Drosophila melanogaster: one gene and its partner. The protein of the gene in region 2 interacts with the protein of the main gene of each other region in a biochemical or structural test. Each region holds a gene or a part of one and is shown on either strand. Other genes may lie near its edges. The genes, in order: JIL-1 and Su(var)3-9.

The links.
Region 1: of the proteins of Su(var)3-9 (region 2) and JIL-1, one has a biochemical effect on the other in vitro, tested with the Drosophila melanogaster proteins (one study listed by BioGRID).

What each region holds. Positions count from the first base shown.
Region 1 is NT_037436.4:11,089,937-11,094,778, reverse strand, and holds the start of JIL-1 (JIL-1 kinase), read left to right. Parts: upstream 1-1,585; 5' UTR 1,586-2,507; intron 2,508-2,922; exon of another isoform or gene 2,923-3,006; 5' UTR 3,007-3,139; coding exon 3,140-3,881; intron 3,882-4,842. Other genes in the region: CG46439 (uncharacterized protein), read left to right, coding at 1-286; Iyd (iodotyrosine deiodinase), read left to right, coding at 428-584, 640-1,346. UniProt on the Drosophila melanogaster protein: Phosphorylates 'Ser-10' of histone H3. May regulate gene expression by establishing or maintaining the structure of more open chromatin regions. Also required for normal polytene chromosome structure, for oogenesis and for viability throughout development.
Region 2 is NT_033777.3:15,259,249-15,265,288, forward strand, and holds Su(var)3-9 (suppressor of variegation 3-9), read right to left. Parts: upstream 4,211-6,040; 5' UTR 4,100-4,210; coding exon 4,034-4,099; intron 3,690-4,033; exon of another isoform or gene 3,591-3,689; coding exon of another isoform or gene 3,549-3,590; intron 3,474-3,548; coding exon 3,299-3,473; intron 2,650-3,298; coding exon 983-2,649; 3' UTR 616-982; downstream 1-615. Other genes in the region: eIF2gamma (eukaryotic translation initiation factor 2 subunit gamma), read right to left, coding at 1-135, 202-438, 3,299-3,473, 4,034-4,099; Set, read left to right, coding at 4,439-4,696, 5,105-5,294, 5,357-5,707, 5,771-5,781. UniProt on the Drosophila melanogaster protein: Histone methyltransferase that specifically trimethylates 'Lys-9' of histone H3 using monomethylated H3 'Lys-9' as substrate.

The DNA of each region.
Region 1 (4,842 bases), on a different chromosome or scaffold from region 2:
CGAGCTAACCACTGCTCCCGATTTTATATTCTTCGATGCCAAGTGGCGGATCATCGAGATTCTGAGAGAGGTGCACAAGCGCCAATTGGTTCACCAGAAGGCCATTCCACTCAACAATACACGCCGACCGATTCCGCCGCAAAAACGAAAACCGGGTGAGCCCAATCAGATGCTTAAGAATCCAAAATGCATGTCGGATAGGAGTGCCCACGAAAAGGGACAACAGAGGATGTGCGAGCATCACAAGGGCAGCCATTGCACCTACTGCTGCCGGAACAACAACTGAAGTGGAAACCAAAACCCATCCACCAGCATCCATCGCTATCAGCAATAGCCGTGACCCACTTAACCAAGTGATAAGCCAATCCGAGCGCAAAAGCAAAGCCACTTTCTCTCCGTCGCAAAAGCAGTTACATCTTGAAGCACCATGGATGTGGACGAACTGATCAGCAGCTCCAAGCTACTCAAGCATTGGCCAAGTTTATTTATCACTCTGGCGCTGATATGGATCGTAAAAAGATTGTTTTTTAAAGGGAATCGCGTATTAAAAACATATAATTTAGATGAACAAGTCGAGGAGGAGGGTAAGTTTTAAGATTATCCACGGTGAACATAAAGCTATTCTATTCTATTTTCCAGTTGAACACTTTGCCGATCTTGGCGATGAACTGCAACCGGCTCTGGAGGATAAGCCCCATGTGCCCTTCGTTCCCGGCCAGAATCTCAACCCTAATGGAGCCAAACGCTTATATGAACTCATGCGTGGACGCCGTAGCATTCGCTCCTTTAATAGCCATCCCAAACCGGATCTCAGCGTGATAGAGGACTGCATTCGGGCGGCGGGAACAGCTCCCAGTGGCGCACACACAGAACCCTGGACGTACTGCGTCGTACAGGAGCCGGAACTCAAGCGATCCATTCGGGAAATTGTGGAACAGGAGGAGCTGGTCAACTACAGCCAGAGGATGCATCCGCAGTGGGTCACCGATCTGCGACCCCTGCAAACCAATCATGTCAAGGAGTATCTCACCGAGGCGCCGTACCTTATACTGATCTTCAAGCAGACCTATGGATTGTCGGAGAATGGAAAGCGAATGAGGAGGCATTACTACAACGAGATATCCACTTCGATTGCGGCCGGTATCCTTTTGTGTGCCCTTCAAGCGGCAGGACTCGCATCGCTGGTCACCACTCCTTTGAACTGCGGTCCAGCCTTGAGAAACCTGCTCGGGCGACCCGTCAATGAAAAATTACTCATCCTACTGCCCGTTGGTTATCCGAAAGATGGATGCACAGTTCCCGACTTGGCGAGAAAGAATTTGTCAAATATTATGGTTACTTTTTAAGGTTTATTTACGTCCGTGCAGCTTACGAAATAGTTCAATAAAACCAAACTAAAATTTATGGTAATTCTTATATTTTTTCTATTGATAAACGAAATTTTCACATTTTCCTTAAATTTATTCTTCATTATAATTGTTAATCAAAATATAATATTCTTAAATATTTGAAACGATAGTCTCCACCATCCCTGCCAACCGATATACGGCTGCTTTCCAGCACCACGCTTTTTGGCCTCTTGTCAACACTATCGATAACGATAGCTACGGTAAGTGACACAAAAGCAAAGGGAAAATTTCTACGTGCGGTTCGTGTGCTGTGTGTTGAAATTACAAATAGCCAATTATCCGGCATTAATCGTTTTAGGGCTCTCTCGATTTTAATTGTATTATATTGTACTATAATACAGATATAAACCCGATTTGATCGAGTGTAACGGAAATCGACGCGATTCCCATCAAGGTGGTCCGTACCTAATAAGTGTTCACGAATGAGAGCAAAGCAGATGGCGGAGAGCGTCCTGCGTTTCAATGTGTGTGTGCGTAAACGAGTAGAAAGCGGCGGTAAAAACCTTCTCGTGTAACACAAAACAAATTATACAAAACATTCAATCTCAATATCAAAACGTTACTGTATTGTCTATTGAAAAACAAGTACAAGCGTACGCAGGGAAATTGGAAAATCCATTGAAAATCGAGAGCAACAGTCGCCGGAGCGGAATCAGCGGACGAAAACAAAAACGCTTTAAAAACGCAGCCGATACAGAAAGTGCCAGCGTGTGAGTGTGCATATGTGTACGTAGTTGTGGGCAAAGAGAACGGTAAAGAATAAGAAATCGAAAAAAAAAAATAAAAAACTAACTGTGGAAGTGAAAAATGCGCGACTGATAAAGATTGTGATAATCACGGCATAATATAACAAGCAAAAAAGAAGAATGAAAAGAAACCGCAACCGAATTGGTTGAATAATATTTAAGCCAACGCCAGTGCTGCATAAATCGGTGCACATTATCATTGGAACGTTCAGTGTTGCACATCGCTACCGCCCCACGCATAATCCAACACTCTTCCCCCTCCCCATCCAGATCCACCCACTCACACACACACACACTCCGATTCGGATTTCTTCGTCTGCATTATAATATTGCGCTTATAATCTTTCGCGAGGTGAGTCGAACTCCCAAATAGTGTTCTATTCAGAAATGAGTTTCCCCATCCAATTGTCCGCTAACAGCGGGAAAATTACTCCCGCCTGCGTTGAAACTGTACCATATTGTGGATGAAGAAATGGGATAGAAATGGGCAATGGGCATTGGGAAGGTACGGTGAAGATTGCCTAAATAGAACACAATAAGAAACAGCTATGTTCAAAACATCTTGCGGAATAAATTTCAACAATTCAGTTATTATTTATTTAGTATTTAAAATGTGTGAACTGGAACATTTATATCGTACATGTTGTCTATGCATTGTTGAACATCCATGAATAGAAAAAACTAATTCAGTTTCTAATTAAAAATACTACAACAATAAAACAGTCTAGCTAGCCAAAATGACAACTTTATGTCAGTACTCATATAAGAATGTGTCAAAAAGTTTAATGATTGTCTACAAATTGTTAGCGATTTTCGAAAAAATGTCTTTACTTTGATTTCTGTTTTTCCAGCTCAACGATGCGCCACGATCAGTCCCTGGACCTTTTTATTTTTATTTGTTAATTCCTGGAATATCCATCGATTACGTGAGGAGCACGTAGAGCATTATTAAAGGCATAGGATCTTTTACGGAAGAATCTAGCCATGAGTCGCTTGCAAAAGCAAAACTACGAGATCTTAAGCGGTACAAGTACGTCGCGCCTCAAGAATCATCAACATCCCCGTGAATCGGAGTCACTAGCCTACGAGGAGCCAGATCAAATGGTGCGGAATCATCTAAATGGCCAGCTGGTAGCCAATGGCAATGGCAAAACGCGAAAGAATAGCAATTCCGAAACGATGACCAATGGGAAAAAGTCCAAACTGAATACGGAGGGATCCGGCTCTGGTTCTGGAAAGACCTTGAACTACAATAATAATAACAATAACAACAACAGCATCAGTGCCACCAACGGTCAGTACACCAATAGCAGCAGCAAGACCACTTCAGCATCTGCAAGGGATTACACTTACCGCGAGACCATATCACCGCCCACACCTCCATCCCCGCCCACCACAAATGTGGCGGATATTGTTTGCATATCGGATGCGGAGAGCGAGGACGGACGCGATCCCGAGCGGGAGTACTACGACCAGGACATGGAGGAGGATGAGCCGAACGGGATAGAGATCGATGAATCCAGCTCCAGCTTGTCCAAGGCCAAGTCCAACAATGCAGCTGCAGCGGCGGCGGCGGCGGCTGCAGCAGCGGCAGCAGCAGCCTCGAAGGCCTCCTCGTCGACCACGCCCTCCTACGCCATGCCCACCAGCAATAGTACACCCCTTGATCTGGACAATGAGGCCCATCAACGGGACCTGGAGGCGGTCACCGATCTGAAATACTACGGTGAGTCATTCCACTCAATGATAGTGATAAAGAAGACCGGGCCAACTGCAAGCACAAGCTAGATAAGAAAATTTGTTACAAGTTGCAGGTCAGGATGTACTTATGTTAAATATGATAGTTTAATAATTCCGTCCATATCAAATTAAACCGCAACTTCTTCCCTGTGAATATTTCATGCCATTTTAAGGCAGCTGCCACAGAGCTTATCAAACATGGTAGTGTGGTGGAATAATTGATAACTTTAACCGGGTGGATGTCTCAAGGTTTTATTGAAATGTCGGCAGAGGGTGGCTGGTCAATGCCAGATGAAGTGCCGTCTCTATCGTTCTTTGTTAAAGTGGAGCACATGCATTTAACCTTGACACGATTACCCAGAAAACTCAACCCGGCTTTGTTCGCTCTTTGGGCCAAATCCAAAACTACTGACCTCCCCTGAAATCGCCCAACCTCGCCGTACTCACCTCTCACCACACTCTACATACATATACACAAAGCAGACAGAATATCCACCACCCAAATGTCTAATTTGATAACCGTGGGTCGAAAACCTATTGTTGCTGCTTGTTATTTGTTAAATTTGACACTTTTCGGTTGCATTTTTAAATAAATATTATTTACTGAGGACATTGGTCTGGATTTTGGTGTGGAAAGTAACACCTTTTTGAAGTAAACGTTTTTGTCAAGAGGTTTTCACAACAGCTGTTTATAAATCGAATAAAATAAATCTAGATAAAAACTAAACCTTCTCTAGTTTCGATTAAAATTCAATTCATCAAAGTTTCTATCTATCTCGATAATTAAGATGTAGTATTATTTCTTAAATAGTTCTTATATCTGGCTTATATCTTTCATAATATCATATGGAACCACTGTGCCACTTTTCGTCATCGCCGTGCAGTCGTGACCATGTCAGTTGTTTGTACAAATGTGCGTGCAACGCTGTTTGCGAGCGTTTGCTGTA
Region 2 (6,040 bases):
CCTCGTACTGCTCTTTCGCCTGGCTCTCCTTGATCAGATCGATCTTGTTTTGCAAGATCAGAATCTGTTTCAGCTTCATAATCTCAATGGCGGCCAAATGCTCAGAGGTTTGCGGTTGTGGACAGGATTCATTGCCTGCACATGGAATAGGTAGTAATTTGTATATCTTTTGTCGGTTCAGAGAGATCCAGGGTTACTCACCAGCAATGAGCAGCAGAGCAGCGTCCATCACAGCAGCACCGTTCAACATGGTAGCCATAAGAATGTCGTGACCGGGGCAATCCACGAAGCTCACATGTCGCACCAGTCTGAAGTTGCCGGAGCAGTTGAGCCGAGTGCAGGGCAAGCTGTCGTCCTTGCTGGATGCATCCGATACGAAGCTGGCCGGGCGCGGGCACTTGGGGTTGTCACACTTGTAGATTTTGGCGTTGGCATAACCTAAAAGCAATGCGATAATAATTATGAAGAATATTACAATACATTCTTCGAACTCCTGGCCTGGCAAACACGTAAAATAATCCTTCGTTCTTCACAAGGAATTAAGTGCTATTGCTAACTAAATTCATTTCTTTGATCCTTCCAGATCATTTATACAGCCACAAACAAACATCACTTAATAATCGTAAAATATTTATTGTAAAATAATAATTTGCACTTAATGCGGTAATAATTTCAGCACATTACAAGGTTGTTTGTCAAAACACTAAGTTATTACTAAATTAAAATTTAAGTTTATGAAATGTATACAAGTACAAACTATATAGAATTACTCGTTTTATCCTCTAGTAATATAGATCCTCAAACATAATATAGATCCAATATATCGATATTAGCATTTATTAACAAATAAATAATTAAAACGTCGGAATATAAAATCCAACTAGTAATATATATATATGTTAACAAAAAAAAAAAAGGTTCAATGCAATGATGTCTCAGGTGGGTAACGGCGTGCCATTTAAATATAGTACTTCAAGTCCATTCAAAAGAGGACCTTTCTGCAATTATCAGCTCCGCAGCGGCACTCGACACGCACAGCTGTCGAGAGGTTCTCGTAGGGCACATCTTCGTTGTCCGCGCGAATGTAGTCGAAGCTCAACTCCTCGCCCGCCTTGATTGGACGCAGTGTGAAGAACACGAGGTGCGGCAGCGCGACATTCAGGTGCTCGATCCAACAGGGGAACACGGCGAGATTAGGATCGCAAGAGTGATTGATAAAGTGCGAGATGTTGCCATAGTTAGCTGCATCGATAGTGTACTCGCTATCCTGAGCTGTGTTGTAATCCAAGTCGAACAGATATGTCCTCCCATTGTCGTCATACGCCTTGCCGCGCTCATTTGCCTCATCGCTGGTGATGATCTCTCCAATGTACTCGCACACAAATTCACCCTTACGCAAGGCAGTTGCGGCTCGCACCCCCCATCCGCTGCCGTTGGCGGTCTTAAACAGCACCAACGGTACCTGGCGTCCGTGCTGCACCAGACGGTTGGAGCAGCTTGAATCGCACGAGCAGCGGCTATTGCACTCATAGATGGCACTTCCGGGACGAAGGCGCAAGCGCCGTGTGCTTCGCTCGTAGGCGAACAGCTCGCCGGCGAAGCGGGCACAACACTTCGTAGAGGCAGTACACTCCTCTGTGTCTTCAGTGCACTTACAGCCCACAATCCCCGCTTCCGGCTTGGGCACATCCTTGCCGATTATGTTATCATGTATGTACATGAAATTGCTGTCTATGGTGTCCAGATCAATGTTGTTCTCAACACGTATTGGCGGTGACGGTTTCTCCACATGATTCATGCGCTTCTCGAACAATGCTAGATCAGCCAACTGCTTGCGTCGTACAAATTGGGCCCGCTTGATTTGCATGCTTTTCAGGGCTCGTTCTCCAATTTTCTGCGGTTCCCTTTGGCTTCGACTGCCAGCAGCGCGATATTGGGCGAGCAGTATAAGATCGATCTGCAGATTGAGTGGCTCATAGGCGTCTACTTCGGCCACCGTAATGTTCTCCATTAGTGGCAATGCCTCCAGCTGCTTCTCAAGCTCAGTGGTTATCTTGGCTATGTATATCTCGTAGAGCTGCTGATGCCGCTCCACAAACTTCTCCATTTCGGCGCAGTCGGCCACGTTGGCAAGACTTTCCCAGGTGTTCTCGCTATCATGGTATCCCAGCCATTTGACGAAGAAGACTGGCTGATATTGATCCATCTCGACGCATTCAATACGCTCCACAACGTACTCTCCTTTGGGCGGCCTTTTGGCAATTACTCCCATGTTATTTTTCGACCGCTTGGAGTTGGGAGTTGGGGCGCCCACACAACTGCTGCGTCGACGCTTCAGTTTGGCGAATCCGTTGAGACTGGGTATTTTGTCCACATCATGTTCCTCGCAGCCAAAAACGCTGCCATAGCCGCTACTATTGCTTGGACTCAGTGAGGTCTGACTGGTGCTTCGCCGGGTGGTGCGTCTATCTACACTGGAGGTGGATGCTGGCATGGAAGACGAAGCTGGCTTGGTGCAGAGGCGGCGGAATCGGCTATGTCGCCGCAATTCGGCCAGGTGGCGCAGCATTGAACGCTGTTTGATTTCATACTGCTGTCGCTGCTGCTTGGAGGTCAAAAGATTTTTGATTTTTTTTTCGCTCAAGCGTTCTGCAAATGACAAGTTTTGGACAATTGTGGATTGGATGATGGGTTTGGTGTGTTTTTTTTTTTATTTGGCGGACGCGTCGCAACCGAAAAAATCGTAAAAACAAGAGAAATAGGGAAAAAGAAGAAAAAGATTGGCAATTAATTAAATTGCTGGATCAGTCGTATCAATCAATGTAACAGATTCAAGACTAAGCTAACAGGAAGATATGCTTAATACCAATCTTTGGGAACGCTTTTTAATTCAGCTTTGTAAAGTACAACATTCTAAAGACAACTTCTTTTATCATTTTAGACTACTTAGGCGACGACACAAGGCAACGCGTGCTAATCCAGCAATTTAAGTTAACAAAATACACAAGAATTCGAATTACAAGAGACAATCATTCGCAGAACCCTTTTACAACATTATCTCGATGTAAAGCAGCGACAGAGTTGGCTACGCGGTGTGCCGTCGCGATACGGTGTTAAAAAGTGGTTCTTAAGATAATTATGGGTTATTTTCGGCCAGCCGAGAAGGTTTACAATCTTAGGGCACTACGGGGTTTACGGGCGAGCAGGAAGAATTAACATACGGCTAAATTATTATCAAGTAGAATAATACATCTTAAGATTATATGCTTAGGCTAGCTTACACGGATCCCTGACTCACCCAGCTTGATTGTGATGTTGCGCTCCAGTTCGTTCTTGAAGCGCACAGTCTGCACGCCGGATATGGCTTTGACCACCGTGGATTTGCCGTGAGCCACATGACCGATGGTGCCGATGTTGATGGTCGCCTGTCGGGAGATGACCTCCGGTGATAGAGGCGTTAGTTTAGAGACGTCCTGCAAGATTCCAAATGCAATACGATAAATAAAGGCGCTTTAATAGAGGAAAATCAGAGCACAAGTCTTGTTTACCGCCGCCACACCCCCTAACAAAACATCCCCTCTCAGATGCATGTGTGTATATAGGAAAGCCGTCAATTTTGAGGTTAGAATGTCGCTTGAATTGCATCAACTCAAAATTGATGACAACAGTCAGGTAGTCCTCGCGAAACTGATCTGCTTGCCAGAGCCCAAATACCGCCAGAGTCCGCATCATGCCCATATGCAGAGCCAAAGTTGCGGGATAAACCAAACAGACCCTAAATGTAGCGCCACGTGCTGCATTTTCACCGTGATCTCTCACCCACAACAAATCACTGCTGGCCCTGGCGAAACCCACTGGTATATCCCTCGAAATTGGTCCGCGAACCGTTCGAGACAATCTGGGCGCGTCCTTGCGACCCGCACCCCGCTGTTTTTCCGGGAAGCGGCTCCATAATGACGACGCGTATACTTTCACACACGGGCGGAAAAAAAGGGAAGGCGGCGTCTGGCGGTCGTCTTTGCTGGCTGCTTACCAAGTTGCTGAGGTCCTGCTTCTGCAAGTTCCTGTTCACACCGATCTGGGCTTCAGCCGTGGCCATGTTGCTGATGTTTTCAAAAACGATGCGTATGCAAAATGAAAATAATAATTTTCAGCTATTACAGCTCGGCATCAAATCTCGATATCGAAGAACGATTGGACCCGACAATGCCTATCGATAGTGCTCTAATCATGGTTGGCCAGTGTTGGACACGTCACACCGGTGCCCAACTGCGATGCGTATCGATAGAGTGCCGCCCTATCGATACACTTACAGTTCTTCAGCCGCAAACGAAAGGTTAAAAATCCGCTTCGCTTCTCTTCTGCTCAACTGTACCGCCGCTTTTTGTTCAAATATCTCGGGAATTACGAGCGTACACACAACGGAAGAGCGTGCAGAATGTCGAGCGTGCCAAAGCGAGCCAAGCTGGACGGCGCCCCCGCCGATGGCAACACATCCGCCGCCGCCGGTAACAACGAGGAGGAGTCGGAGGCGTTGGAGCAAATTGATGCCTGCCAGAACGAGATCGATGCGCTGAACGAGAAGGCCAGCGAGGAGATCCTCAAGGTGGAGCAGAAGTACAACAAGCTGCGGAAGCCCTGCTACGAGAAGCGCAGCGAGCTGGTCAAGCGCATCCCCAACTTTTGGGTGACCTCGGTGAGTACTTCGATCCGCGGCCATGTTTGTCCCCTCCGCGTGTTCGTCTGATGGGTTCTAGTGGAGCCGACTAGATCTTTCGAAGCCCTGAAGTGATGGTAATCGCTGCACACATGTACAAGAAATTTTCTCTATTCGAGGCATTTTTTCTTGTTCATCTTTGGGCTGCAATGCCGACACCACCGGCTCCCCGCGCATTTTCCCCCTCCCGGAAAAATCGTGCTATCGATATATCCGTCTGGCCGGGAAATACACAACATAGCACAGTTCAAAATGGCTTCAAATCAAAAACCACTGAAATATTTGCTGCCATAATTGAAAAGAAAAGTAGTGCCATAGGGGCCATAAACATGGCTTTCTGCTTGATAGCATGCATCCCCTAGCTAATCCCAACTGCCATATTTGCAGTTTATCAACCACCCGCAAGTATCCGGCATTCTGGACGAGGAGGAGGAGGAGTGCCTGCACGCGCTCAACAAACTTGAGGTTGAGGAGTTTGAGGACATCAAATCGGGTTACCGCATCAACTTCCATTTCGACGAGAATCCTTACTTCGAAAACAAGGTGCTCACCAAAGAGTTCCACCTGAATTCAGCGGGTAAGTTCTCCCAACGATTGATTCAAATCCGCTTAGCTAACCCATTACTATTTCAATTAAAGCTGCTTCCGAGAACGGAGACTGGCCCGCGTCTACCAGCACGCCCATCAAATGGAAGGAGGGAAAGAACCTGCTAAAACTTTTGCTGACAAAGCCGTACGGAAACAAGAAGAAGCGCAACTCCGAATACAAAACCTTCTTCGATTGGTTCTCGGATAACACCGATCCCGTCAACGACGAGATCGCAGAACTGATAAAAGACGACCTTTGGCCAAATCCACTGCAGTATTATCTGGTACCTGATATCGAGGTGGAGCCCGAGGACGAGGAGGACAACGAAGATAATGATGAGGAGGCATTTGACGACGAGGACGGTGAGGATGGAGAAGGCGAGGAAGAGGAAGAGGATGAGGGTAAGCTAATGGAGTGCCTTTTGAACAGAAGGAATTTACTAACCACCTAACCAACCATTTTAGATGACAAGTAAACTGATTAATGCAATTTCAAATCGCTCGCAACCGAAGGCCCACATTGTTTATAACCACTGGCAACTATAGTTTTCCCGATGGTTATGCAACATTTACATATTCGCAACGATTTAAGGACATATTTAGGTTTCGAAATAAGCAAAAGTCATACATCCATTAAAGAGCAGCAGAAAATGAGAATCACCATTAAATTAATTTAAAACAAATAAAAAGACGTAAATCGAATCTCAAGCCGTGTCTTTTTATGTAAGTAAAGAA